Tribolium castaneum: one gene and its partners. The main gene of each other region encodes a partner of the protein of the gene in region 6 in a complex. Links are inferred from orthologs where the notes say so. Each region holds a gene or a part of one and is shown on either strand. Other genes may lie near its edges. The genes, in order: MED20, mediator of RNA polymerase II transcription subunit 25, MED18, MED21, MED8, CycC and MED16.

What was found.
Region 1: CycC (region 6) and MED20 share a complex: the UniProt entries of both Homo sapiens proteins name them as parts of the mediator complex. The link is inferred for Tribolium castaneum from reciprocal best matches to the Homo sapiens genes CCNC and MED20.
Region 2: CycC (region 6) and mediator of RNA polymerase II transcription subunit 25 share a complex: the UniProt entries of both Homo sapiens proteins name them as parts of the mediator complex. The link is inferred for Tribolium castaneum from reciprocal best matches to the Homo sapiens genes CCNC and MED25.
Region 3: CycC (region 6) and MED18 share a complex: the UniProt entries of both Homo sapiens proteins name them as parts of the mediator complex. The link is inferred for Tribolium castaneum from reciprocal best matches to the Homo sapiens genes CCNC and MED18.
Region 4: CycC (region 6) and MED21 share a complex: the UniProt entries of both Homo sapiens proteins name them as parts of the mediator complex. The link is inferred for Tribolium castaneum from reciprocal best matches to the Homo sapiens genes CCNC and MED21.
Region 5: CycC (region 6) and MED8 share a complex: the UniProt entries of both Homo sapiens proteins name them as parts of the mediator complex. The link is inferred for Tribolium castaneum from reciprocal best matches to the Homo sapiens genes CCNC and MED8.
Region 7: CycC (region 6) and MED16 share a complex: the UniProt entries of both Homo sapiens proteins name them as parts of the mediator complex. The link is inferred for Tribolium castaneum from reciprocal best matches to the Homo sapiens genes CCNC and MED16.

The regions. Positions count from the first base shown.
Region 1 is NC_087398.1:429,539-432,060, forward strand, and holds MED20 (mediator of RNA polymerase II transcription subunit 20), read left to right. Parts: upstream 1-1,193; 5' UTR 1,194-1,329; coding exon 1,330-1,950; 3' UTR 1,951-2,022; downstream 2,023-2,522. Other genes in the region: uncharacterized protein LOC103313212, read left to right, coding at 1-49, 655-726, 774-858, 916-988; Hmbs (porphobilinogen deaminase), read left to right, coding at 2,235-2,279, 2,332-2,404, 2,464-2,522. UniProt on the Homo sapiens protein: Component of the Mediator complex, a coactivator involved in the regulated transcription of nearly all RNA polymerase II-dependent genes.
Region 2 is NC_087402.1:9,089,832-9,094,125, forward strand, and holds the start of mediator of RNA polymerase II transcription subunit 25, read left to right. Parts: upstream 1-1,494; 5' UTR 1,495-1,592; coding exon 1,593-1,714; intron 1,715-3,021; coding exon 3,022-3,192; intron 3,193-3,240; coding exon 3,241-3,460; intron 3,461-3,507; coding exon 3,508-3,856; intron 3,857-3,901; coding exon 3,902-4,147; intron 4,148-4,194; coding exon 4,195-4,294. Other genes in the region: toll-interacting protein, read right to left, coding at 305-761, 809-1,107, 1,155-1,199. UniProt on the Homo sapiens protein: Component of the Mediator complex, a coactivator involved in the regulated transcription of nearly all RNA polymerase II-dependent genes.
Region 3 is NC_087394.1:9,286,397-9,289,130, forward strand, and holds MED18 (mediator of RNA polymerase II transcription subunit 18), read left to right. Parts: upstream 1-1,321; 5' UTR 1,322-1,479; intron 1,480-1,530; 5' UTR 1,531-1,532; coding exon 1,533-2,201; 3' UTR 2,202-2,234; downstream 2,235-2,734. UniProt on the Homo sapiens protein: Component of the Mediator complex, a coactivator involved in the regulated transcription of nearly all RNA polymerase II-dependent genes.
Region 4 is NC_087401.1:8,393,380-8,396,172, reverse strand, and holds MED21 (mediator of RNA polymerase II transcription subunit 21), read right to left. Parts: upstream 1,328-2,793; 5' UTR 1,140-1,327; coding exon 1,098-1,139; intron 1,050-1,097; coding exon 834-1,049; intron 784-833; coding exon 610-783; 3' UTR 501-609; downstream 1-500. Other genes in the region: Set1 (histone-lysine N-methyltransferase SETD1B), read left to right, coding at 287-460; FAM21 (WASH complex subunit 2A), read left to right, coding at 1,588-1,707, 1,759-2,078, 2,126-2,318, 2,462-2,657, 2,703-2,793. UniProt on the Homo sapiens protein: Component of the Mediator complex, a coactivator involved in the regulated transcription of nearly all RNA polymerase II-dependent genes.
Region 5 is NC_087396.1:15,801,447-15,805,544, reverse strand, and holds MED8 (mediator of RNA polymerase II transcription subunit 8), read left to right. Parts: upstream 1-1,490; 5' UTR 1,491-2,574; coding exon 2,575-3,093; intron 3,094-3,139; coding exon 3,140-3,505; 3' UTR 3,506-3,598; downstream 3,599-4,098. UniProt on the Homo sapiens protein: Component of the Mediator complex, a coactivator involved in the regulated transcription of nearly all RNA polymerase II-dependent genes.
Region 6 is NC_087394.1:8,425,934-8,429,923, reverse strand, and holds the start of CycC (cyclin-C), read left to right. Parts: upstream 1-1,190; 5' UTR 1,191-1,319; coding exon 1,320-1,351; intron 1,352-1,402; coding exon 1,403-1,509; intron 1,510-1,558; coding exon 1,559-1,765; intron 1,766-3,605; coding exon 3,606-3,990. Other genes in the region: leucine-rich repeat-containing protein 1, read right to left, coding at 333-835. UniProt on the Homo sapiens protein: Component of the Mediator complex, a coactivator involved in regulated gene transcription of nearly all RNA polymerase II-dependent genes.
Region 7 is NC_087396.1:16,567,347-16,571,584, reverse strand, and holds the start of MED16 (mediator of RNA polymerase II transcription subunit 16), read left to right. Parts: upstream 1-1,438; 5' UTR 1,439-1,555; coding exon 1,556-1,629; intron 1,630-1,677; coding exon 1,678-1,821; intron 1,822-1,866; coding exon 1,867-2,315; intron 2,316-2,364; coding exon 2,365-2,517; intron 2,518-2,562; coding exon 2,563-2,759; intron 2,760-2,809; coding exon 2,810-3,351; intron 3,352-4,238. Other genes in the region: tyrosine-protein kinase Src42A, read left to right, coding at 1-19, 68-276. UniProt on the Homo sapiens protein: Component of the Mediator complex, a coactivator involved in the regulated transcription of nearly all RNA polymerase II-dependent genes.

The DNA of each region.
Region 1 (2,522 bases), on a different chromosome or scaffold from region 6:
TGCGAGGGGGCCAAGTGGGACGTCGACCTCCCTCTGCCCAACTGTACTAGTAAGTTTGATTAGACGCTAAATGGAATTGACCTCCGACCCCGCTTTTTAATTTTTAATGAGATAAAGTGTTGTGTGCGAACAAAGATAACGCCGAAACTCCACATTTCGTGCTTTGTGCGAGTTTGCTAGTTTGGATAAAACAAAGATAAACTGAACGTAAGCCCTACAAAACAATTTCGCATTCGATGAAACTCCCAAACAAAATCTAATTATATTATGGAGTCTACGCCTCTGCCTATTGACTTGTTGGTGTTTCCGTTCAACAAAACGTTCCCGTATTGCTTTATCTCTCTCGCGATGCTCAGTTGTCAACGGAAAATCGTGTAGGAACCACGTGGATTACCTAGAGGCGTTTTTCGCGATAAAAAGAATTGTAGGAGTTTGCACTAACGAGGCAAATAGTGAGTGTTTCTAGAGTTTTTTTTCATGTAATTGTATTTTTAGCGTCCAATTAGACAAAGCAGTTGAGGTTATATTGTATTGTTATAAAAAAAATCATTATGAAAAGTTTTGTTGTTATCAAATTGCGGAATTGCGCTTCAGACCACATTCATTAAGTCAGCGGCGACTCGTGAACAAGGCTAAATTTACTCATTTTTTCAGAAAAACTTCAACAAAAGCCTCTGCTAACTGTTCAAGACATCGGAAAATCGAAAAATATCGAAATGGTTTCAGGTAACGCATTTTATGATTTGTTTAGGTTGCTGTTAATTTTTTTTCAGATGTTTTAGCACCGGCCTTACTCATAGCGGCTTTATTTTTGATAAATTTTATGGTTCTATTTTACATTTATAAAATTAAGCAAAAGTAAGTTGCTAATTTAGACTAATTTTTTTTCATCCATTGATCTTGTTTTTTTTTTAGACACGCTGAAGAATTTGCTGACGAAGAATTAGGAACGTTGCCACTGTCAAGTTGTGAGAAAGCCTCGCCTTGAATTATTTATTTGTAAAAATGACACTTTTATAATAAAAGTTTTATTTAATAATCGCTATTTTATTCCACCACTTTGAAAGTTGCAGTTTGGCGCGTAAGAACACTAGGAATTTTCGTTAGCTAAGGTTTACCAAAATAAAAACGCAATTTTCAAAAAAATTTATTGTTATAAATCAAATCCAAAAATACGGTAAATATAAAACATATGTTTACATTATGATTCAAGAGATAAGGGGTCAACGACTTTGAACTTGTAGCATTTTTGACACCTAGCTAAGTTGGCACCACTGACGATCATTAAGCTATAATAACCTCAATTTAGCCCCCAAAAATCCACTTAAAATGGGGGTCACAGTGTTACAACAGTTCCCCACAGAGAACCGCACGGGGCCCTCCACCATTGAGCTCCTCTCGAAGCGAATTTCCGCCCTGGGGGCCCTGCAACAGGGCCAGTTTCTCGTCGATTGCGAAACGTTTACTTCTTGTGCCGCTTTGGGACACCAACGTACAGTCCACGTCCTTCACAATTCCGAGCAGCCGGCGACTGTTTTTTCGATCCTTGAGACAGGCCAAAAGACCATTCCTCTCGCAACTGACGGCCTTTTTGATCTCCTGATGATGAAAATGTCCGGTTTTTACTCATCAAAAAAACAGACTAAGGCCGAGTCGAAGGGGCCGCGATACGAAATCGGTGATTTTTGTGTAAAATTGGGAACAGTGACTGTAAGTCAGAACTTTCGGGGGGTTCTGGTTGAAGTAGAGTATCGACCATGTGTGGTGCCTGCGATGTGTTGGGAGTTGATGCGGGAGTTTCTGCAGGGGTTTTTGGGGTCGTCGGTGCCTGCAACGCCCCCACCGTATTTGCAAAACAGGATGCAGGAGTTGTATACCCCCATTGATACAATTCATCAGTATTTGGAGCAGTTTACGATATTTAGGAAGGCCCCCGGTTTAAGGCCCTAATTTTAAGCTAATTTATTGTAAGGTTCAAAGTTTTTGTAAAGAAAAAATTAAATAAAAACAATTTTGAGGTTATATTGTCTTTCTCTTTTACTCCCACACATTAGACTATTATGCGTCTTTGTCTAATTACATAATTTGGAAAGTTGATTGTTCACCTCTATCAGCACTTACGTAGGGCAGAATGTGATAGTGGTGATGAAGCAGTTTTTTTTCAATAAAACAGCATGAAAACATAATCATGCGTTTGCGGTAATTGTTCCTTACTTGAGAGAAAAAGCACAAAAATGAGTGAGATTGAGAAAATCCGGGTTGGATCCCGGAAAAGCGAGGTATTTATCACGTGTTTGTTATTGTGGGCTCTTTTTCATTTGACATTTTCAGCTGGCTCTCATTCAAACGCGACATGTGATTTCACTGCTCAAAAAAATTCATCCTGGGAAGGATTTTGAAATTGGTGAGGTTTCGCAAAAAATTCCCAAAATTTATTTATTTATTTCAAAAATTTATTTTTAGTAACAATGAGTACATTAGGAGATAAAGTCCTAGATATACCGTTACCAAAAATTGGTGAA
Region 2 (4,294 bases), on a different chromosome or scaffold from region 6:
ATGAGTTGGAATTACGGAGGACTGAATCACTCAATTTTCTATACCAAATAAATAAAGTCGGTTTCGTATTAATTTAACTCAACCCCTTCCCAAAACTTTTAGCCCCCCGTAGTTGGAATTAACAATGGAAATGTTCAAGTAGAAATCGTTAAAAATTAAAATTGCACGATAAGCAAACCAAAAAGCATGGCTAAATTTTGGCACTTGATGAGTTAAAAAATGACAAAAAATGGAATTTTAAAAAGCTACGACTAGAATCCGCAACTAAAGTTTAATTATGGCGTAAATGAGATTACTGATTGATTTATTCAGCCATTTGAAGTAACGAATTAATGGTACCGTCTTTATTGCCCCTGTTGGCCTCAAACACGGTCTTAATCACCTCTTTATCGATATTTGGAAACATTTCCTCGATTTGTTTGAGCTCGGATTCACTCAAAGCAGGCGCGGCTTCAGTAGGAGGCGCTGTAAACACCTTCAAGGGTGTGACATTGCCCCCTGTTACGTTGGGCACCACCATAACAGGCGCCGGTGGTTGATATTTATATGAAGGGAACACTAGATAACTTAACACGAGATTAATCATTCCTTCGACACCTTCACCCTGTTTCCCATTTAATGGGTACCAATCCTCGTGGGTTTCCCCTGCAAGTACCTGTTGGGGGATCTGGAACTGCGTCCAGGCGATGAGTTCGTCCATCGTAAATGAGCGTTCGTCGAAAATTTCTAACGTTATGGTATTAATACCTTGAGGCAACAAACTGGAAATGGAAAAGTAGGGACTTGCTAGTTTTTGAGATGTGTTTACCAGTGAATAACTTTGTTCCATCGCGGGTTTTTGCCGCCGTTCGGGTCCGTATGCGTCTCGTAAACGCAATGCCCGACCCGAATCCGAGCGTAGGGGTCCATTCTGGTCATTCCGTAATTTTTTGCGAGCTTAGCTTGAGCAACAGTGATACTGAGCCTCCCAACGACATTTGTGTACTGTTGGCCACCGCTTAGCTGGTGGTGCAGTGCTATGGCTGTTTGGCGATCCGCTGCCTCTTGTTGTTGCTGAACCGAGGTGCTGATACGGAGAAAATCCTCCGGGAGGGGACCAAGGAGGACCTAAATTTCGGCATTAAAGCACGATTTTTTAAATCATTGGCACCTACCCGACTTCGCCTTTCTCTGACTTTGTCCGTTAGCGCCGATGCCATGGTGTTACACTATTTCAGATAAAGTAAAGACGCATTAATTCACTGTTTGCGGTGTTTGATGACAAATAATCAGCTGTTCACGGCAGACGTCAACACGCCTGACACTAGGGGAAAAAATATAATCCCAGTCTGGGATTAAATTTTATTAGTTTCTGGCGAAAATAGCCAGGTAGTTTTGGTTAAATGCAATCTACTAATAATTCTATTCAATTGATTAGTTTTCCAGACAACATTTTTGCATAATTTGGCTAAAATAAAATTTCATCTGAATGAAAGTGTTGCCATTAACTTGACGTAACATCCCTAAAAATTTGACAGGTATTTTCAATATGGCGGGGTTTGGTGCTTGTATTAAATTGTTTCATTAAAATTGTTTAATATTTTGACTAAACAATGGTTGTGTGTCCAGCTGATCATGGCTTACACGCCGATATCGTTTTTGTTATCGAGGGAACTGCAGTGAATGGTGCTTATATAAATGACCTAAAAACCAATTATATCATCCCTTCGTTAGAGTAAGTTTACTTTTTTTTGTAACTTCTGATGTATTACATGTTTTTCTCTACTACTGCTAAATTGTTTTTATTGCCTATTTGGCTTTACAGTCCTACTTGAAGTTATTTGATATTCTAGATATTCTTTACCTTTCCCAATTTTCTTTTGCACCCGTCACTTTTTTCATCCATTCTTTTCCCTTACCATTTTCGTTTAAAACTTTTTTTCGTATCAAACTTGCACACTCTTACCTCCACAAACTGTGACACTCTCCGCTTAATCTGCACACTGTTTCCCAATCTTCTCTCCAATATTCGTTCTCGCTTTCATTTCTACGTCTAAATCTGGCTATGATTTTCTTATCTTTACTTTACATCTTCCTTAAGTATGAGAGGAGTTCATCCGTCAATAAGCACGGCATATTTTACGTATTACACCTCGATTCTTTTTTCCATGTTATTCTTTCCTGCCTATCTATGTCCAAATCTCTCAATTTCAGTTCCTCTTCCATTGTTCGTCCCCTTTCTCTTATTCTTTTAATTTCTATACACACTTATTCCTTCTTCTCATAGGAGTCTTTTCGTCCTTTCCATCTAACATTTTCATTTGCTTTTTTGATTTCTGTTCAACACTGTTGCATTCACGCAGAATTCTTAATTTCTCTTCAAATCCCACCGCTCTCTTTCCTTAATCTACTCTTAATTTTTTTCTCTTCCTTTTTTTACTATGTACTCTGGCATTTGTTTATTTAGCCTGTTCGATCTCGTATTTCTTCCATCCCCACACTTCTGCTCAAAATAGTCCCTACATTACAGTGCTTTTCCCTAAGCTATTATTTTTCTCTTGAAATTTTCACTAAATTTACGTTCTCCCAAGCTTCAAACATTTCCTAAAACCCCATTTGTTTTTTTTTGCTGCTTCTTTTATATGGGCTGTGTCTGACATCTTGCTACTTATTACTCTCTTCTAACTGAAATAGTGAAGATTGACTAAAATAATACAGTACATATCTGATTCAGATACTTCAAGTCTTTCACTTGTTCTATATTTTTCCTTCCCATTGCCATTCATCCTCTTTTCCGAATTCCCATACTACTTTTCTTTCCAAATATCATCATTTTTGTTGTATCTACATCTACATTTCCAATCTTTTATTTCTCTGTTTTTTCTCGTGATGAATTCTGAACGGATAGTTGAACAAGGTTTGAGGTACTGAGAAATCAGTGTAACCTTGCTTTGTTATGATAAAAATTACACCCTGATACGAAAAAGTAGTAGTAGTAGTTTTTAATTGGAGAATATGTTCTTGTAACTGAGGGACTTTTAGATATTTTAGTCAGGGGAGTATTGATGAGAGCAACTTCCTATCAGAAGGGATTAATTCTTATTACGGAATTGTGGTGTATCAGGCTGCTGATTGCTTACCGCACCCCAGTAGCGACACAATTGGGCCCTTTGTAAGCCCCAGTAAGGTATTAAATGCCATAGACAAACTTGAGTAAGTTCTAACTAGGAAAAGGATCACTTAATGTAAAAATTATTTCAGACTTATAGGAGGTAAAGGCGAGTCTCATGCAAACATTGCTGAAGGTTTAGCCACAACCCTTCAATGTTTTGACGAATTGCAGCAAAAACGTGACAATAACGGCAACATTCAAAAGCATTGTATTCTAGTGTGTAACTCGCCCCCTTATTCTCTAGGGGTTTTTGAAACTCATGCTTACACAGGGAAGACAGCTGAGCAACTAGCAGCTATTTTGCAAGAAGTAATTAACCAAGTGTCTTCCACCAAATTTGCATAATTAACTTTCAGAAAAATATCAATTTGTCGATTATCTCGCCGCGCAAAATCCCCTCGTTGTATAAACTGTTCGAGAAAGCCGGCGGTGATTTGAGCGCTTCCCAGACGAAAAACTACGCCAAGGACCCCCGTCACTTGGTCCTCCTGCGCGGCTTCAGCCTGAAGGAGCGCCCCCTGAGCCCCCCTGCCGGTACCGCCACTTCCGCCCAAACCCAAATTTCTAACACTACCATTCCTATAACCTCTCTCCCCAGCCCCTTAGCCAGCAATGACAGCCCCATCTCGTCATCCTCGTCCGCCAACTCCGGGGTTCCCTCAGGAGTGGGCCCATCGCCCGTCTATCGGCCGCCCAGCGCTCAAGGTATAACCCCCCAACACTCACAAAATGTTACACCAGGCATGGTAGGTATGGTGAACGCCCGAGGGGCCATGATGGGCAACAACCCCATGAACATCCCGCAATTGCCCGCACCGCCGGGCTACCACCAAGCGAACCGGCCCAGATGGCCAGCTATGTTGCCCCCAACGCAGCCCAGGTCGTATCTGCCGCCCAACCAACAGGTTAATACCACCCAAAGTAGCGCACTGATTGCACAGCTGACACAACCCCCGAATTCTATGCCGGGGACTGGGGTTAATCAATTTGGACAAAGTAAAAGAGAAGTTTTTGAGGTGTTTGAGGTAAATTGCGTGTTTTAGTGGGGAATAATTCGCCGCTTAATTCGCAACAGCAACAACCCCAAATGAAAATTAATATTATGAATCAGCAAAATCAGCAACCAAATGTTCAGACGTCGAT
Region 3 (2,734 bases), about 860 kb from region 6:
CGAGCCGGTGATGTGAAATTTTGGTGTGAAAATTAGTGGTATCGCCACAAATTGTGTTAAATTTAAGTCTCCAGAAAATTCGGTTTTAAAAGTAGGGTTATGTTATCATTTGGAAATGTCAAATCATTCATTTTTTGGATTTTAGTGTCCGTTTCTGCTCTTTTAGAGCGTTTATAACTATTATTCAATATGTTATAGGCAGATAAATCTACCTTTGAGTCAACGACATAAACTTCAGTGTGATTTATTGAAATGTATATAGGGCAAGAATGAACTTTTCGTGTTAAACATTTTGATGAAAAAGGACGTTTAATCGTTTATAAAAGGCATGTATAGGTGTGTTAAGTTTGCCATATAATAAAACATAAAATACAACAACTTTTCTATAAAAGCATTTTGCAGAACTCTTATTTATTATTTTCACTATTTTCCTCCTTTTATTTGTGCAAACGAGCCGTTGATGTGAAATTTTGGTGTGAAAATTACTGGTATCGCCACAAATTGTGTTAAATTTAAGTCTCCAGAAAATTCGGTTTTAAAAGTAGGGTTATGTTATCATTTGGAAATGTCAAATCTTTCATTTTTATGGATTTTGTGTCTGTTTCTGCTCTTTTAGAGCGTTATTAATTACTATTGAATATGTTATGGACAGATAAATTTACCTTTGAGTCAACGACATAAACTTCAGTATGATTTATTGAAATGTATAAAGGGCAAAAATGAACTTTACGTCTTAAACATTTTGATGAAAAAGGGCGTTTAATCGTTTATAAAGGGCATGTTAAGGTGTGTTAAGTTTACCACGTAATAAAACATAAAGTACAACAACTTTTCTATAAAAGCATTTTGCAAAATTCTTATTCGTTATTTTTACTATTTTCCTCATTTCCTGTAATAACTGATTCGCCCTTCGGAGGCCATTCTGAATACTGTAATGAATTTTTAAAGATAAAATTTGCGAAATCGGAAAATTTTAAAGAATCTTTAAAAATTCATTAAGGTCCCAAGGGGTGTTTGTCCGAACATGATTTTTAACAGTCAAAGGCCCTATCGAAGAGCTTAATCTCCTGCAAAAATAAAGAAAATTGCATATAAAGGGGGTGAAAAAAAATCAGTTTGCATTGCTTGAATATGAGAATAAAAAATGCAGAAATTAAATACAGTTAAGTTTTAATTTGTAATAGAAACTCATTACAATGGTCAGGAGATGTTCTACAAATGTGTTATGCAAGTCAGCGTAACAACTTATTGATGTTTTTATAATGAATTACGATTATTTTGATAATTTTCCTGGTGTGAACTTGGCTGTAGAAAACGAGAATGGTGGGGAAACGGTGCTAGCTCCATGCGCGCAGCCCTTGTCTGGTCGACTGTAATTTTCATGGTGCCACCACCATTTTTGGGGCTGTCTCCGCCGACATACACTGACAACTTACACTTCAATCAAAACATAACCTCCAAAAACTGTGATAATCTTCAGTAATTGTCGGAAATAGGCCGTTTTCCGCAAAGTGATTGTCACTGTTACAGAAATGGGGACTCCTGGCACGGCCATCGACTCCCTAAACGCCGCCCTCAAATGCAACATAATCCCCAACCAGGAGTACCTCCTCCAGGGCTCAGTCTTGGACCAATACGTCGAGGTGCTCCTCCACCGCTTGCGCGGGCTGTGCGACAACGTAGACAGCGGCCCTGAGTCGTTCCACGACCACGAATTGTGTTTCACCCTCCGGGCCACCAACCCAGGGGCCCCCATGGTGCTCCCACTGCGAGTCCGGCGAGCCCTCGACGTGCCCGACGCCGCCTGGCAGCTGCGCTACGTGGGGCAACAGGAGCTAGGCGACAAGAACCGGCCAACAGTCGTCAGATCGAGTATTGACATGGCTTGCAGTTCCACAATTGTTGAATTTTTGACCGAGCTTGGATGCAGAGTGGATTTTGAGTACATCGCCCGGGGGTACATGTTCCGCAAAGGCAGGATGAAAATCACAGTGTCGAAGATTTTCAAAATGGGGAGCATGACGAGTAAGCCGGGCGAAGGCGTAGAAGCGATTTCCCAGAGTTATTTAGTTGAATTGTCCGTTTTGGCCCCGAGTGGACAAGATGCTATTGCGGAGGATATGAGAATTTTTGCCGAGCAGTTGAGGCCGTTGGTTCAGCTTGAAAAAATCGATTATAAAAGACTTGGAAATTTACCGTAATTTATTTATAAATAAAATACAATTAAGATTTAACTAACAACAATCTATATAGCCTTGAAAAATCCTTAAAAAATATTGCCAAACCTTTCCCTAAAACCCTGAATATGTCTTTTTATACTTTTTTAAATAAAAAAGTTAGGGGGTGTCTACTAAAGTGATGACACCTGGTATTTTAACTACTTTCCCAAACTTTGACTGATATCTTAAAAACTAACAGCAATCTACACAGCCTTGAAAAATCCTTAATAAAATATTGCTTAACCATTCCCTAAAACCCTGAATATGTCTTTTTATACTTTTTTAAATAAAAAAGTTAGGGGGTGTCTACCAAAGTGATGACACCTGGTATTTTAACTACTTTCCCAAACATTGACTGATATCTTAAAAACTAACAGCAATCTACACAGCCTTGAAAAATCCTTAAAAAAATATTGCTAAACCTTTCCCTAAAACCCTGAATATGTCTTTTTATACTTTTTTAAATAAAAAAGTTAGGGGGTGTCTACCAAAGTGATGACACCTGGTATTTTAAC
Region 4 (2,793 bases), on a different chromosome or scaffold from region 6:
AGTTTGCGACAACATATTTCCATTTTCAACGGTGTAGGTACAATGTGTTTTTAAATGATTCTTGGTGTACGTGTAATAGAAAATTTTATTCTCCATAAATTTCTTCGTAGGATTTTTCTTGTGTTCTTGATTTGTCCATTTGTTTTTAAATTAATTTAAAACGACTTGGCGCCGAGACAGTATAATGCTCAAAGCGCCCTCATTTTTACATTTTGGGTACGATTTTGTATCTCGTTTCGTTTCCTAAGCGACAGTCTTCCATAACCCGAAAAAATGATTTTTACAGCCGAATTGCTACGCCAAAGTCATCACAATCGAGTCGCAAAAGAAAATAGTGATCTACTCGAAACAGAGCATAGGTGTGAACGAGGAAATTACTTACGATTACAAATTCCCGATCGAGGACGAGAAAATCCCGTGTCTGTGTGGCGCGGCCACGTGTCGAGGAACACTTAATTAAAGGGAAACAAGACAGACTTTAAACCGAGTTAGTTACTATATAAAATTTAAATTATCTTTTTTATTTGTATATATGTTTCTGTAAATAGTACATGGTTATTTGTGTTTGTTTTTCATCACAACCGCAAATAAAATTCATTAACAGCTCACTTAACTATCCTTACTCCCCGCTTTTGTCAAATGCTGCATGTCCAGCTGTGATTGGGCGATGTCGCTCAACGCCGCCTGGATTTGCTCCAAGAGATCCTGACCTTTACGAACTATAGCCTCGAGACGCTCAGCAGACTCTTGATTGTCTGATTCCAAAATTCGCAAGCTTTGCAACTGAAACAGTGTTTAGTCCGCGGTCGGACCAAGTCATTGTAGATAGGTACCTGTAATTCGGTTGAATTTTCCTCGCTCGGGAGCGATTCAATCAAAGTATCTATGTCTTTGGCACAGCGCGCAATCAACGTTGTGAATAACTGGACGTAGTCTTCTTGGTTCTGTTGCTGGGGGGTTTGGGAGCCACTCCTGTCGAAGTTTGGGAATTTGCTAGGAGGGGCGAACTGTTGCAAAATCCCAATGCTGTTGCAGAAATGCTCGGCTTGCTGCGACAACACGAATGCAATTAGTGGTACAGTCTTAGGGGGAATTACCTGATTTATGCAATCCTGGAGCTGGGTCAAACGATCGGCCATTGAGGTTATGTTACCCAATCACCGACAAGTGATAAGACCCGAAATCACATAAAAACCAACACTGATGATAATTTGTTATCTCCCGAGGTTTAATATGCGACAAAATATATTAATTCGTACGAAATAACTAGAATAATACTAGAAGGTGAATGACATCTTGCAAAAACAAACACACATGATTGCCAACCCAAATCTGGTTGGGTAAAGTCTGCGTAAATTAATCCCACCGGGCCGAAGTTACATTTTAGTTATCACGCCTGATTTCAAATATAGTAGAACGGTTTTATTTACAAATTAATTGGTTTTATTTAATCAAATAATAACGCAAAACCGGGGAGTAATAGCCAACCCACGAGTTGAAAGTCCCCAAGTCAGTTTTTGACAGATGTCAAATTATTATTATTATTAATGAAAAATAGCAATTACAGGCCTGTTCAGCGCTTTAGAAATGTCCGGGGCCAAGCCGTGGGAGCGACCATGGTCCATGGACGAAATAATCCAAAATTCGGACAATTGGAATTTAGCCGGAGATGTGGCCCTTTTGAACACTCTCAAGGCTTTTGCAGACGTATTTCGCATTTTTGGCCCACATTGAACCGTTTCAGCGTTCAATTTTTAGAATCTCCTGACTCGAACAACCGAAATCAACAATAACTTGCAAAATTTGACAAGCTCCCTGTCTGAGACAAGTCTCCAGTTGAATATAGCCCAAAACGAGTTTCAAAGTTTGCGAAACAGCCAGTTTATTGAAAGTCGGGTTTATGAGGACGATGAGACTTTGGAGGAGCCGGTTGAGGCGAAAGCCGAGGAGAAAGAGGTTGATAAGACTGAGGAAATCAGGTTGGCGGCTTTGAAGGGTTTGGAGGTCTTGGAGACGTATTTTGAGAAGGTTGAGGTGTCGGTCAGTGACAGTGAAGACGACGATATCGACTTGCCCAAGTAATTTTTTTCTAAATAATTTACAAAAACTAGTTTGTCTTTTCCAGTTTTGTCCTCAGACCCAAAGACTTGTACCTGGAGCGCCCCCTTCCGTACGTAATCGGCTCAGAAGAGTGGCAAAAGACGTGGCACGTGGGCCTGGAGGACTCGTCCAGCGATAGCGAAACTGAGAAAGTCTCAGATAATTTCAGTGAAAGCGACTCAGAATCAGAGTTGCCAATTATTCCCGACAGAACACAGGTACTTTACACATGTTTTTCCACTGGTTGAGTTGCACTTGATCCATTCATTATCATAATTTTATTGGTCTATTAACCGGCCAACCGAATTTTTTGTTTAGTCGCGATCCAGTCGCCATGGGCAATATCTGGTTCTTTTTCCAGATCAAGGGCACCTCTGATACCAGTTCTGAGGACTTGCGAACTGAACCGAAAAATTTCGTCAATTCGAGTGATAGTGAAAACTCAGTTCCGGTGCAACCAACTACCAACTTTGCCGAAGAGTTGGCGGCGAAATTGGGGAACGTGATTGATCAAGAGTACGTCAATCGACGGCCAATCCAGAAAACGCCACAATACGGTAATTGTTTTTGGAAGCGGACCGCAGACTAAACGCTAATTCCAGATAACCTATTTTTCGATGAACCGCCGCCTTTGGACGAACCTAAGGGGTTGTTTTCAGGGGGTAAGGGCTTGTTTGATGACGATGATGAAGC
Region 5 (4,098 bases), on a different chromosome or scaffold from region 6:
ACACAGAATTATTTAAAATAGAACAGCATTGATGTAAAAAAATTAATTATGACAAATGTATTTGCCTATAAACGTCTAAAATTATAAAAGTTTCGCATGCAGTCAATGGAAAAATAAAAATGCATGTTTTTATTTAAACAGAAACTGGCAATGTGAAAGTTTGGTGCGAAAATTAGTGGTATCGCAATGCGTATAACCACATTGTTTGTTTGTTTCGTTTTGTTGAAAATTCGGTAGGTTCCAAAAGTAGGGTTATGTTGTCACCCGAAAATGACAAAATTTACACTTTTATGAATTTTGTCTCCATCTCTGCCCTTTCAGAGCGTTATGATAGGATATTTAGGGTCGAAATCTCTACCTTTATTATGTGCTATTGCCAGATAAGGACAAAAGTTCAGAAAGTAGGGTTAGGGTGTATTATGATCTCTTCTGAAGTGTTAAATTTTAACTTTAATGTTTTTTGTGTGCTTTCCTGCTCTTCTAGAGCGCTATTAATTATTATTGAACATGTTTAAGGACAGACAAATCTACCTTGAGTCAACGACATAAATTTCAGTGAGATTTATTGAAAAATGCACTTCTCGTGTCAACCTTTTCATGAAAAAGGGTGTTTAAACGTTTATAAAGGGTATGTTAACGTGTGTTGTTAACTTTACCACGTAATAAAACATAAAGTATAACTTGGTAATTTTTTACTTTAACTACTTCTGGATTTTCAAGCTGAAACTTACACCAAACGATTCCTCTGAGTGCCCTGATGACCGTACACTATGAATTTTCTTGTGCAAATTGAAAATAACATTAGAAAAATAATTTTTATTTTCACTCACTTTTTACTTGAATCGCCATTTTTGTTGATTTTAATTTGAGTTTATTTTTTATAATATCACGTTAATTTTTATTATTATAGTGGATCAAAATGTCGTCTTTAGGTTAGACTATTGCCTACTATCGGTTAGGAACAACATGATCTCCAAAAATATAACGTAGTAATGAGCTCCAGAAGGTTTACGTAGATAGGTGCGTTTTTCCCAAAAGTGAGTTTTTTGAGATCGAACCGCAAGTGAGTCACACTGCGAGGAGACTCCCATAGACAGAAGTTGCAAACATAAGGTGCCAGACCGGTGCCAGTTTGGCTGATTGCAAGTATGTCTTTATCATCGATTCGGTGACGACTATTAGTTTCGTAAACTTAATGGATTTAATAAATATCTTTAACATTAAATGTGATCGTGTCATGTTGGGTAAAATTCTTCCATCTGTGCTGTCTGTGCATCCACCTTTTCAAATACAATTAAGAAATTTTCATAATAATTGTATTTGATAAGGTATTGGCATCATTTTGACGTGAGCAAAAATTAAAAAAATATAAAGTAATCGGAATTATTTTAAATTCGCGCCATTTTTAGTACGTGATGATGCGGCTAGATGGCTTCAGCTAGGAATTCATTGCCAACCATTATGTTCCGCTTCTATTAAAGTGTTATTCTAGGGCCACAGCCATTGCCGTCTCGAACTCCAGGCCGTCAGGTTACTAGCTTTTGTTTATTGTGACGTCATCGTAAGAGTCGTGACATTTGTTCGCATCGTTTGAATATATTGTACTTTTTGGTGTTTTTGAGAGTGTTATTAAGTAATTTGTTGTTGTTTACGAATTTGTTGTTTTGTGGTTGCGTTGTAGGGAATGAATTTTGTGTGTTTATAGTCTTGTGTGACGTGATTTTGACAATTATAGGTTAGGATAGTTTTGCATTATTTTTGTTTATAAATTTGGTTTTATTGTTTTTAATCGTTTAATTTGGTAATAAATAAGCAGATAAGGCATATTTCAGTCTCTAAACCTAACATACTTAATCCTATTGCATTCCTAATTTTAGAAAATGCCGAATAAGTGTTGTGTTCCCAATTGTGTGTCTAACATGAATGGTCCTTATGTACCTATGTTTTCCTTTCCCAAACAAGAATCCCTGCGATCATTATGGTCAAGAAAGATACCCCGAACTAATTGGACTGTTACCAAGAACAGTCGTGTTTATGTGAAATATTTTCGGGATGATTTTATAATAAAATATCACGAAGTGACTAGAGATGACGTAAAATTCTTCGTCATATTCTTATACTTTCGATCACACTTTTACGACTAATTTAAAACATATTTAGCGAATAATAACATGTTGCATTCCATAAGAACCTGTGTTAAAACTTGGATAAAACGGTCGTCTTTAAGTCGCGGTTATTCAAAATTTAGGCCCATAAGGAGAATTTTTGTATTAATAGACGTAACTTTAGACGTTTAAGTACGGCTAGATGGTTTAAACTATCAAAAAATATAAACTTTAATATATGTTTTTCGGGTAATAACAAACGGATAAGGTACTTTAAATCACAACGTATGTCACTATAAAAATTATAGTTGACCGTTCGTTGACCACATTTGCAGTATCAGGATTCTTTAGATACACTTTTCCGTCGTTTCTTGCATAAAACGTTGGACGCAACATAGTTAAAATTAATTTTTTGCAAAAATTCAGAAAGTTAGGTTATGATCATTTAGACTCTTACTGTGACGTCACAATGTCAACATGCAGGCCTGGAGTTCGAGACGGCAATGCCACAGCCGACATACCGTCATCGTGGTTAAGGTTATGTTTTTGTAAACAGCGCCAAAAATACAGCAAAATGCAACAACGGGAAGAAAAACAACTCGAATCGTCTCTCGATTCCATAATCCAGCGTGTCAACGACCTAAAATCATCGATAGCTTCAATGATTTACAAGGTGGAGAATGAATATGAGACCCTCAACTGGCCCACATTTTTGGACAATTACGCCCTTATGTCCGGCCAACTCACCTCCCTTTCGAAGGTTTTAAGCCACGACAAATGCCCCACCCTCAGAAATCTCACAGTACTGCCCCTCATGTTGTCCCCCGAGCGGGACGAACAATTGGCCCAAATGACCGAACACAGAGTCACAACCTTCGCCCATGATTTAGTCCCAGATTATCTTCGAACCAAACTAGAACCGTTGGCGGAGAATAAAATGATGCAATTGGAACACAAGGCGTCAACTTTATCGTATGAGAACGCACAGGTATGTTAAAATTTTTGGTAGAGTATGTTTCAACGCAAACTTTCAGAAACAAATTGCTGCGTATCAAAAGGTTGTGTCCCACGTTTGGGAACTGGTGAGTAAAGCGAGGGAGGAGTGGGAAGTTGAGTCTTCCGCCAGGGGAAGTACGCAGCAGAATTCCAGTGTGGCTGATACTCACTCGCTTGTGGCGGCTGTTGGAATGGGGAAGGGACTCAAGATGGGGGCGAACCCTAACGGTCAGCCCAATCCCACGTCGGGAGGGATGATGGTGCCTCCGCAGGGGCGCCCAGGGGGCACTCCCGGGCAAGGACAGATGCCCCCCAGCACGCAAACCATGACGATGAATAAGGCGCCCTCTGCTATTAAGACTAACATCAAAAGTGCCACCCAAATACATCCATATGGACGCTAGTGAAATAGTTTTTAATGTGTACGGAGATATATTTATTTATTAAGATATAATCTTACAAAAATAACTAAATATAACAGTGGAAACAAAGATTAACACTTTGTAGCGTAATGAGTAGATTATAAAAAGCATTAATTTTATAGACTTTGAAACTATACTATCAACAAATGGTTGAAGTGTGGCTGGTCGGAACGGGTGGCTTTTCCAATAAGTACAGCGGAACTTGAACATTTTCACGATGTATGTTAGCACATGCTACGCATTATATAAAATATAAAACATATAACATTTAGAATACTTGGGACCCAGTCAAACAAAAATTAACAACTTAAAAAAATATTTTCTACAACGTAACGCGGGTGACTGGACCCTGTTTACGTATAATACGCATTTAAAAAAATATAACAAACAACAAATAAAATACTCTTGTGCATAAATTGCAACTATTCTATGGTCATATATTTTCCTTACATGGCAAGAGAATTTTCCTAAGTTTTTGTTCCCTATATACAAAGTGGTACAATAAAAGAATTCAACTCTTTATACTCTCTAATTTGTTAATATACTTTTGTTTCTTAAAATACTGACCAACAATT
Region 6 (3,990 bases):
TCCATTTTTTTCGATTATTTCGAATTACTGAGTTATTTTGATTAACAATTATAAACATTAAGAAATTTAACAATAAAAAATACTTTAAAAACAACAATAGTTGCGAACTATATTTTTCTAGGCGACAAAATTCCGTTTTACCATAAAGTAGACAGTGGATAAAATACGATTTTATCCAACCAAAAGCATTAACACACTCGGCTTCGCCTCGTACTACTTTTTCGTTGATAAAATTCGACCTTGTTTCACAAGAGAGTGGAATAAAGTAAAAATAATTTGTCGATTTTTCGAAAACTAAAATTCTTTAATTTTTGGGTAAGTGTCATACTTACCTCAGTTGCACTAAATTACAGATTCCATCTGGTAACTTTGTTAACAGGTTATGCCGAGCCCCCAAGGTTTCCAACTTTGTTAAATTACCAATTTCTTCAGGTAAAGACTCCAGATAGCAACGGTTACACCATAATGTTTCTAACGAAGTTAAATTTCCAATATCTCTAGTCAAGTCTTTAATCGGATTATGGCTTATGTTTAGAGTAATCAACTGAGGCAAATCCTTGAGTACTTCAGGGAAACGATCGAAGTTATTGTACTCCAGAGACAAATTTTGCAAATTCTTGAGCTGTCCGAGACACTTGGGCAGTTCAGTGATTTGATTATGACCAATGTTTAGATATGAGAGGTGGACACAGCTCACCAACAAGGGGGGAAATTTGACAAGGTCGTAATCATCTAGCGCTAAATTCGTTGCTTTAGTTCCATGAGCTTTTTCTATTTTTGCCAAAACCCGGTTTCGCTGAATGTAATCGTACACTGGATTCATTTTTGGAAGCATTTAGAGGTTATGTCGCACAAACTCACTGATTATTTACACAACTTGTACACAAGCACACATTTTTGAATAAATAAGAATCCAAAAAAGAAAACTGGGGGCCCGAGCCCCTACACCATTCCCAACACAAAAAAACACACAAACAATAATTTGTTTGTTGTCACAAGTGGCGCTTTGACATTTGAAGTAGTTCAAATCAACCAAACATTTTCGTATCATATGGTTCGAACGAAACAAACAATAAATAAAATAAATAACAAAACTGAAAAATTAGCGTTCGTTTGTACTTAATTTTAGTATTCTAAGGTCTACAGTTTTAATAAAAGAGGTCGTAGGTTAAAAAACACCACAGTAGTTCCATTGGTTGACACTTGTCACTTGACTGAGTTTCTTTGACCGGTTTCTTTTGCTTTTGTGTTAATTAATAATTGACTGGAAGCTTAAAGTTATTGCCTGTGATTTAATTCAACTCAGATTAGTTTGTGCAATGGCTGGAAATTTTTGGCAAAGCTCACACCAGTAAGTTACGATATGAAAACGGCCCCAAAATCACAAATGAATTTTTTCCAGCCAGCAGTGGCTTTTGGACAAACAAGATTTAATTAGGGAGCGCCAACATGATCTCCAACTCCTCACGGAGGAGGAGTACCAAAAAATATTTATATTTTTTGCTAGCGGTATTATTTATATTAGGTTATTATCAACTCTCTTAATTTATTTTTTCAGTCATTCAAACACTAGGCGAACAGTTGAAGCTACGCCAGCAAGTTATAGCAACCGCAACGGTTTATTTTAAGAGGTTTTATGCAAAAAACTCACTTAAGTGCATCGATCCGTTATTGTTAGCCCCCACTTGCATTTTTCTAGCCTCCAAAGTAGAAGAATTTGGGGTGATTTCCAATTCTAGGTTAATTACAACGTGTCAGACAGTCAGTAAGTTAAGTCACAGTCTCCGTGATGGTCTTAGATGGCTGGTCTAAAAGTTACCAGATATAATTTTCCCAAGTTTTTGTTAAAAAAATTACCGAAAAGCATCCAACTTCGGAACTACGGATATCTAAAAGTTAGGATATGGTACGACGTACAAATAAAACGTTCCTGTCCTTGATATTTCCGTTAATGCCGCCAGAGAACGCTGTTGTTCCATTACCAAGGTTTTCAGAGCAATAAATTTGAAAAAATGGTTGTATTTGTATAACGGTTAACACACAGCAAACAAAAAAAATACAGGCAAATAGAGCATTAAATTCTCAATAGTAGGACATAAACATAATGCAAAAATTTTATCATAAACTATATTTAAAAAAATTTCAAACTTTTACCAATTTGCACTCTGTCCCATAATTTTCAAAACGCTGCGAATACGGTTACAGATATAAATAAGTATATACTATTTTTATTCGAGGGACAAAAATTGGATAAATAAGTCACGTCGAATTTTTTTGAACTTAGGGATCAAATTTTATAAACAGAAACTCTTGAAAAGATTAAAAATATATTACCGGACAATCGTTTAATTTTTTGAGATAAATTGCTCCAAAACTAAAATTAAAAATGTCTATTTAATGAAGTATTGTTTATTATTAATTGACTGATCCAGAAATACTGTCTGTTGACAATACTGAATTAAAATTTTAAATGTTCAAAATTAATTGAAATTTGGTATATGCCTGAAAGTAAATTTATTCATCGAATTATTTGTTTAAAAAAAATTTCCATTTGTTCTGGGAATATTAAGACTAGCTAGTCTCATTGGTGAACCCAAAAGTCAAATTTAATATTTTTAATTATTTATTAATTTAATTTAATTTATTATGTAAAAAAAATATCGCACTAAAAAAATTGGTCAGCTTTGTAAATCTTGTCTTTATCTAAAGATAGCTCGTTGCCGCCTCAACTTTTACCAAAAAATAAGTAAAAGTTAATAATAATTGAAAGAGAACACATTTAATAAAAAAATGAGTTGTATTAATACTTATTAGCGCCACTGTATTTATAAGCATTGGTTGTTCTTCGTTAATTTATATGCTAATATCTAGCTTTCAAGTGTTCAATTTTCTCTAATAAATGTTTTTTTGTAGTTACGACTTTTTTGCTTAGTAACTTCAGCAATTTTTTTATTTCAATTGTTTTAAATTGAAAAATAGCGCTCTAAAAAGATGTCTATAAAATTGCGTATCAATTTAATTTTTTTCATTAAAGTTCAAAAGCATATAACATAAAGGTGCGATTTAAAGAAAATTTAAGAATCACGAAATAACTTAAAAATACGTAAAAGTAGTTACAAGGTTTTTGTTTAGCAGGTCAGTTTAATTCTCTACAAATTTCTTCCTAACATTTTTCTGTATCTTTAATTGTATTCGCAGCGTCTTCTTAAAGCACAAATTAAATAAAAAAATTCTCATGTTTGTCATGAAACTTGTAGTCGTCAGTCTTTCTTAGTCTGTTAAGAGTGCAAAACATTTCTACATTTTTTCCACGTTATTAATGAATTGGTTGGTTTTAAATTAATTTAAAACGATTTGGCGACAAGACGGTATAACGCTCGTAGCGCCCTCAGTTTTACTCTGCCGTACTATTTTTGGTCTCCTAACTTATAGTCCTCCGTATTCAGAACATACCACTCAACAGGGCGACCTCTCGCGGTTATTTAATTAATTACAGTTTAAAAATCCAAAAATTAATATTATATTCTGTCGTTAATAATTTCAAAGCCGTCTAAGATCGAAGGAGGCTAAGTTAAAACTAGCTTTTTTAAACAATCTATTTTCAGTTAAAAATAAGTTTAGTTACGCCTATAGTCAGGAATTTCCATATCGTACGAACCACATCCTAGAGTGTGAATTCTACTTGTTAGAAAACCTCGACTGTTGCTTGATCGTCTATCAGCCTTATAGACCTCTCTTACAACTAGTGCAAGACATGGGTCAAGAAGATCAACTTTTGACTCTCGCCTGGAGGATAGTGAACGATTCTCTTAGGACTGATGTGTGTTTGCTTTATCCACCATATCAAATTGCAATTGGCTGTCTTCAAATAGCTTGTGTCATCTTGCAAAAGGACCACAAGGCTTGGTTTGCCGAACTGAACGTGGACATAGAACGAATTCAAGAAATTGCAAGATACGTTATTAATTTATTCGAGCTGTGGAAGACTTA
Region 7 (4,238 bases), on a different chromosome or scaffold from region 6:
GGCAGAATACCATATCCAGGTGAGATATTTCAATTGGTCGGTAAATTGTTGATTGTCGATTGTTTAGGTATGACCAATGCCGAGGTGTTGCATCAAGTCGAGCACGGGTATCGCATGCCGTCGCCCCCCGGCTGTCCCGCGCCGCTCTACGATATCATGTTAGAATGTTGGAACCGTGACCCAATGAAAAGGCCGACGTTTGAGACGTTACAGTGGAAATTAGAAGACTTTTTCACCATGGAAGGTTCAGAATACAAAGAAGCGTCGGCTTACTGAGGTCACGCCCACCCCCCTGCTGACTGGCTGCGTAATTCGATTGACTTACACTACCATTAGTGGGGAGGTGGATATCTATTTCTATGTAACAATAGATAGATATGCCCGTACTCTTATTTCTTGTCGTGACTATGCTTGTGTTTGAAATAATGGTTTGTGAAGTTTTATCAGATTTTTACACGTCGACTAGGTATCACAAACCACTATTTTGCGATTTTAATTTTAAACTTTGCTTCCTTTTATACATCGTGAATGGGGCTCTTCGCTCTGGCTCATCTATTTTTAAATATTCTTTATATAATAATTTATTTTAAGATTTTATGTAATTTTATAGTGAAATTCGACAACGTTAAATTTTCCCCGATTGAAACTTTTAAACGCACAATTCGTGTCTACCAATAAGAATGAAACGATGTGTAATTGTTGCTTGTGCATATTACCTAATTCCCCTAAGTACTTACGCTTTTGCATTTATTTTTTAAAAACGAATAACATTCCTCTCAAGTGACACTATCCGATATCTCTAGCGTTATTTCCCAGATGCCCTACAGTTATTAAAAATCGGTACTAATTTATGAAAGGCGTTGTTTCTTGGTTGTTTTAGTCACAACTTATGTCTTCATTATTTTAAGATTGTTATTAAAGGCATTGTTTATACAGTTATAGGCCATTATGAAAATATTTTTTGTATTATACACTTAGAATATACAATAAAAGTCCTTTACAATTTTCGTTGCAATTTATTCAAACCACCTCCACGAAATAGAGTTTGCTAAATTCTTATAGCACCCACTGGGGCATGACTACTTTAAAAAAAGGTTACTAAATCAGGGGTTTTTAAAGCAGTCGCATGTGGACTTGCTTTACTATTGCAAGGTTTGAAAAGGAACTGAAATAAGACATCCAGTATTTAAACACCAATATCCAATTAAACTCCGCCCAGGTGGGTACTTCTCGTATTTGGATACTTTTATGTTGTCCCTCGTAACGTTGGCAATGTTTCGCGCGCAACCAGTATTGCATCTCCCGAGAATGTACACTCATGAGAATTCTCTACTAATCGCTAACCTTTTATTTTTTTTTCTATCCATCAAACCTAAACTCAGAGCTTACACAATTCGAACAACACTTCGTAATTTACTTTTGTGAGCAATTTTATGAGAATAGAAGATTTCTCGTCAGCGTACATTCACGCGTATGCCCGACAGCTGTCAGGTGTCAAAAATCTGCCAATTCAGTAAAGTTTTAAAAAGATGCTTCATTAGATAAATACCGAAAAATGGACCATATTTTCACCATTAATAAGAAAATAAATAAATCGGTGGACACCAGCAAGCATCTATCATTCACCAAGTACCGCCCAAACGAAAGTTAACCATTTACCAACCGTTTGAATTCCAGACTCGAGAAGTCAACCTTATGCTCGATTTCAAGCTCCAACGTTGTTGCTTTCAGCACGGAATGCAATATCGAAGAAGCGGGTTCCCTCTTTTGGAACTCTAATGTCTACGTCTGCGATTTAAACAGTCCCTGGCAGGTCCACAAGTACGTCCCCAAAAACACTTTCCTGTATTAAACCTCCATTTCCAGAATATTATCAAACTCTTCCCCCATTTCGGTGCTCCAGTGGGACTTTACGGGCGACCTTCTGCTAGTCGCGGACGAAAACGGCTCGATAAAAATTTACAAAGCTAAAGACCACATCCTAAATGACTGGACCCTTGTCCTCCAGACTGTCCTAGAAGGGGAGCACATTCTGTCAGCGGCGTTTTTCCACTCGGGCAAGAAAATCTGCCTCAACTCTGAGAAAAAAGACAGCGCTTTGTACACGGAAAAGTTTCACCATGTCAAGTTTGCCTGCTCTGTTAAACAGTTTGGGGGGCGCCCTGCCAGTGGGGCCCTGCTACTCACAACGACGGGAATGTTGTGCTCGATTTTACTCCCCCAAAGCACGAGCCAGGTCGCAATGGTCATGGCGACAGAAAGCCTGGCCCCTACTAGGATTTTTATCAAAGCTGCTGATATTTGCTATGGCAAAAGTAGGTTTTTTACAAAATCATTTAAACACCAAATAATGTTATTGTGTAGACGGTCATTTTTTGCTCGCTGTGAGTAACGGAGACTTATCAATGCCTATTCAGTGTTATAAAGTCTCTGTCAGGAAAGCTGAAGATAAGTGTGTCATCACAAGCCAGTCTTTACTCAGTTTTTTTCTATTTGAGGCGCCTAAGGAAGCATTAAGTAACAAACTGAGTCATTTAAGCCGTTGTTTAACGTTTGTTTTAGTGGAACAAGTTTCCAAAGAAAAAAATTGCCACATAAGTCATATCAAATGGATAATGAGAGAGGACGCAGATTCGGTGGTTGTTTCAGCCACTAGTGATAAAATAAGCTGTTTGCAAGTGTGGGAATTGAGAGAGAAGGCTTTGCCGGTTCACAAATCACTAGGAAAATCTGAAACTCCCCAGTTTTTTAACACTGTCGTACGTCTATTATCTCATCATGTGATAATCGATACTTACTTATTTTTTAGTTGTGGCAATACCAGTGCCACTTCCAGTATAACAGCAAGGTCACTTCACTAGCTACAAGTAAACTAAGTCTATTAAATAATGTTTCAAGTGGTTATGTCGTGGCCACATTTGCCGACAATTCCATCCATTGCCTCTACAGAGACACTCTAAAACATTTGGTCAGCACCACTTTGACCATTTGTCCGCGTTATTTTGACGAACCTCTCGCCAGATACCCCAAAACTAGCATCAAAATCTCAAACATTGACATGTCCTGGCTCGGCAATATTTTACTCGTGATTGATTCAGACGATAGTCTGCATATGTTTAAGTTACCGCCCCAAATCGACAGCTCAACGCCTCTAAGTGTACCTTACTGTACCACGATTTTAGAGTATTGCATGATGAGCGGTTTTGATTGGTTAGACTTGTTGCTAGTGTTAAGACCTGGAATGTTGGACGCGATATGTGACCGACTCACCGAAAGTTTTAATCGCCAGCCCTCGGCAGTGCAACAGTTTTTCTACGTGCAGTATTTGTGCATGAAAATATCGCTATGCAGGTAGGTTCCTAGTTTACCGACATTGGGTGACAAAATTTTATTATTTAATTATTGTTTTAAATAGAAAGCTTATGATTTTACTGTATTTTTGTATTATGCGAGATATTTTAAGGAGTTTTTACCAGTTTTTTTATAGCAAAGTTAACAGTTTTTGTAATATTTATATTTTTTTGATTTGCACCTTCTTTTTCAAAAATCGAAGTTCCTGTAGAGTATTTCAAAGAAAATGATTAGATTTTTTTCAAATTTTAAATTCCGTAAAGAGTGACAAACTCTAAATTTGAAAGATTACGTTTGAAGAAATTCAACTACTTAAAACACAATTTTGCCAAATTGATTCTTTCTTTACTAAATGAAGAAAAAAACTACCAGTAATTTTGCATCGAGCCAACTATAACCACCATAATATTTTTCAAGTTATTTATAAAGCTTAGGGTTACATTAAAAAAAATGAGATGTTCCCAAACGTAACTTTAAAATGTTTTTTTTAACTTTTTTGAAAACACCAATAAGGGAATAAAGCTTTCTCTTCTAAATGCCCAAATACGATTTCGAAATATTATAAATGACAATGTTGTCGATTTTTGAAAGGGAAGGTGCAAATCTAAACAGTTTTAAAAAAATATAAATACATATCTAGAAAACAAAAGGAAACATAAACACAAAATATTTGAGAAAAATTTGAGTAGCCAAAAAAAAGCAATAAAGAATATAGCTTTTCACTAAAAAAAATGTTTCCAATTTCTGTATAAGCGGAAGTGCCACCACCTTGAAAATATTTTGATACCTGACTAAACAAATTTTTTGATGAATATTGTTATTGGAACCGGAAACACTTTTAATGTGTGCTTTAGGCGCAACACCTCGAATTTTGCGAGTAAAATTCA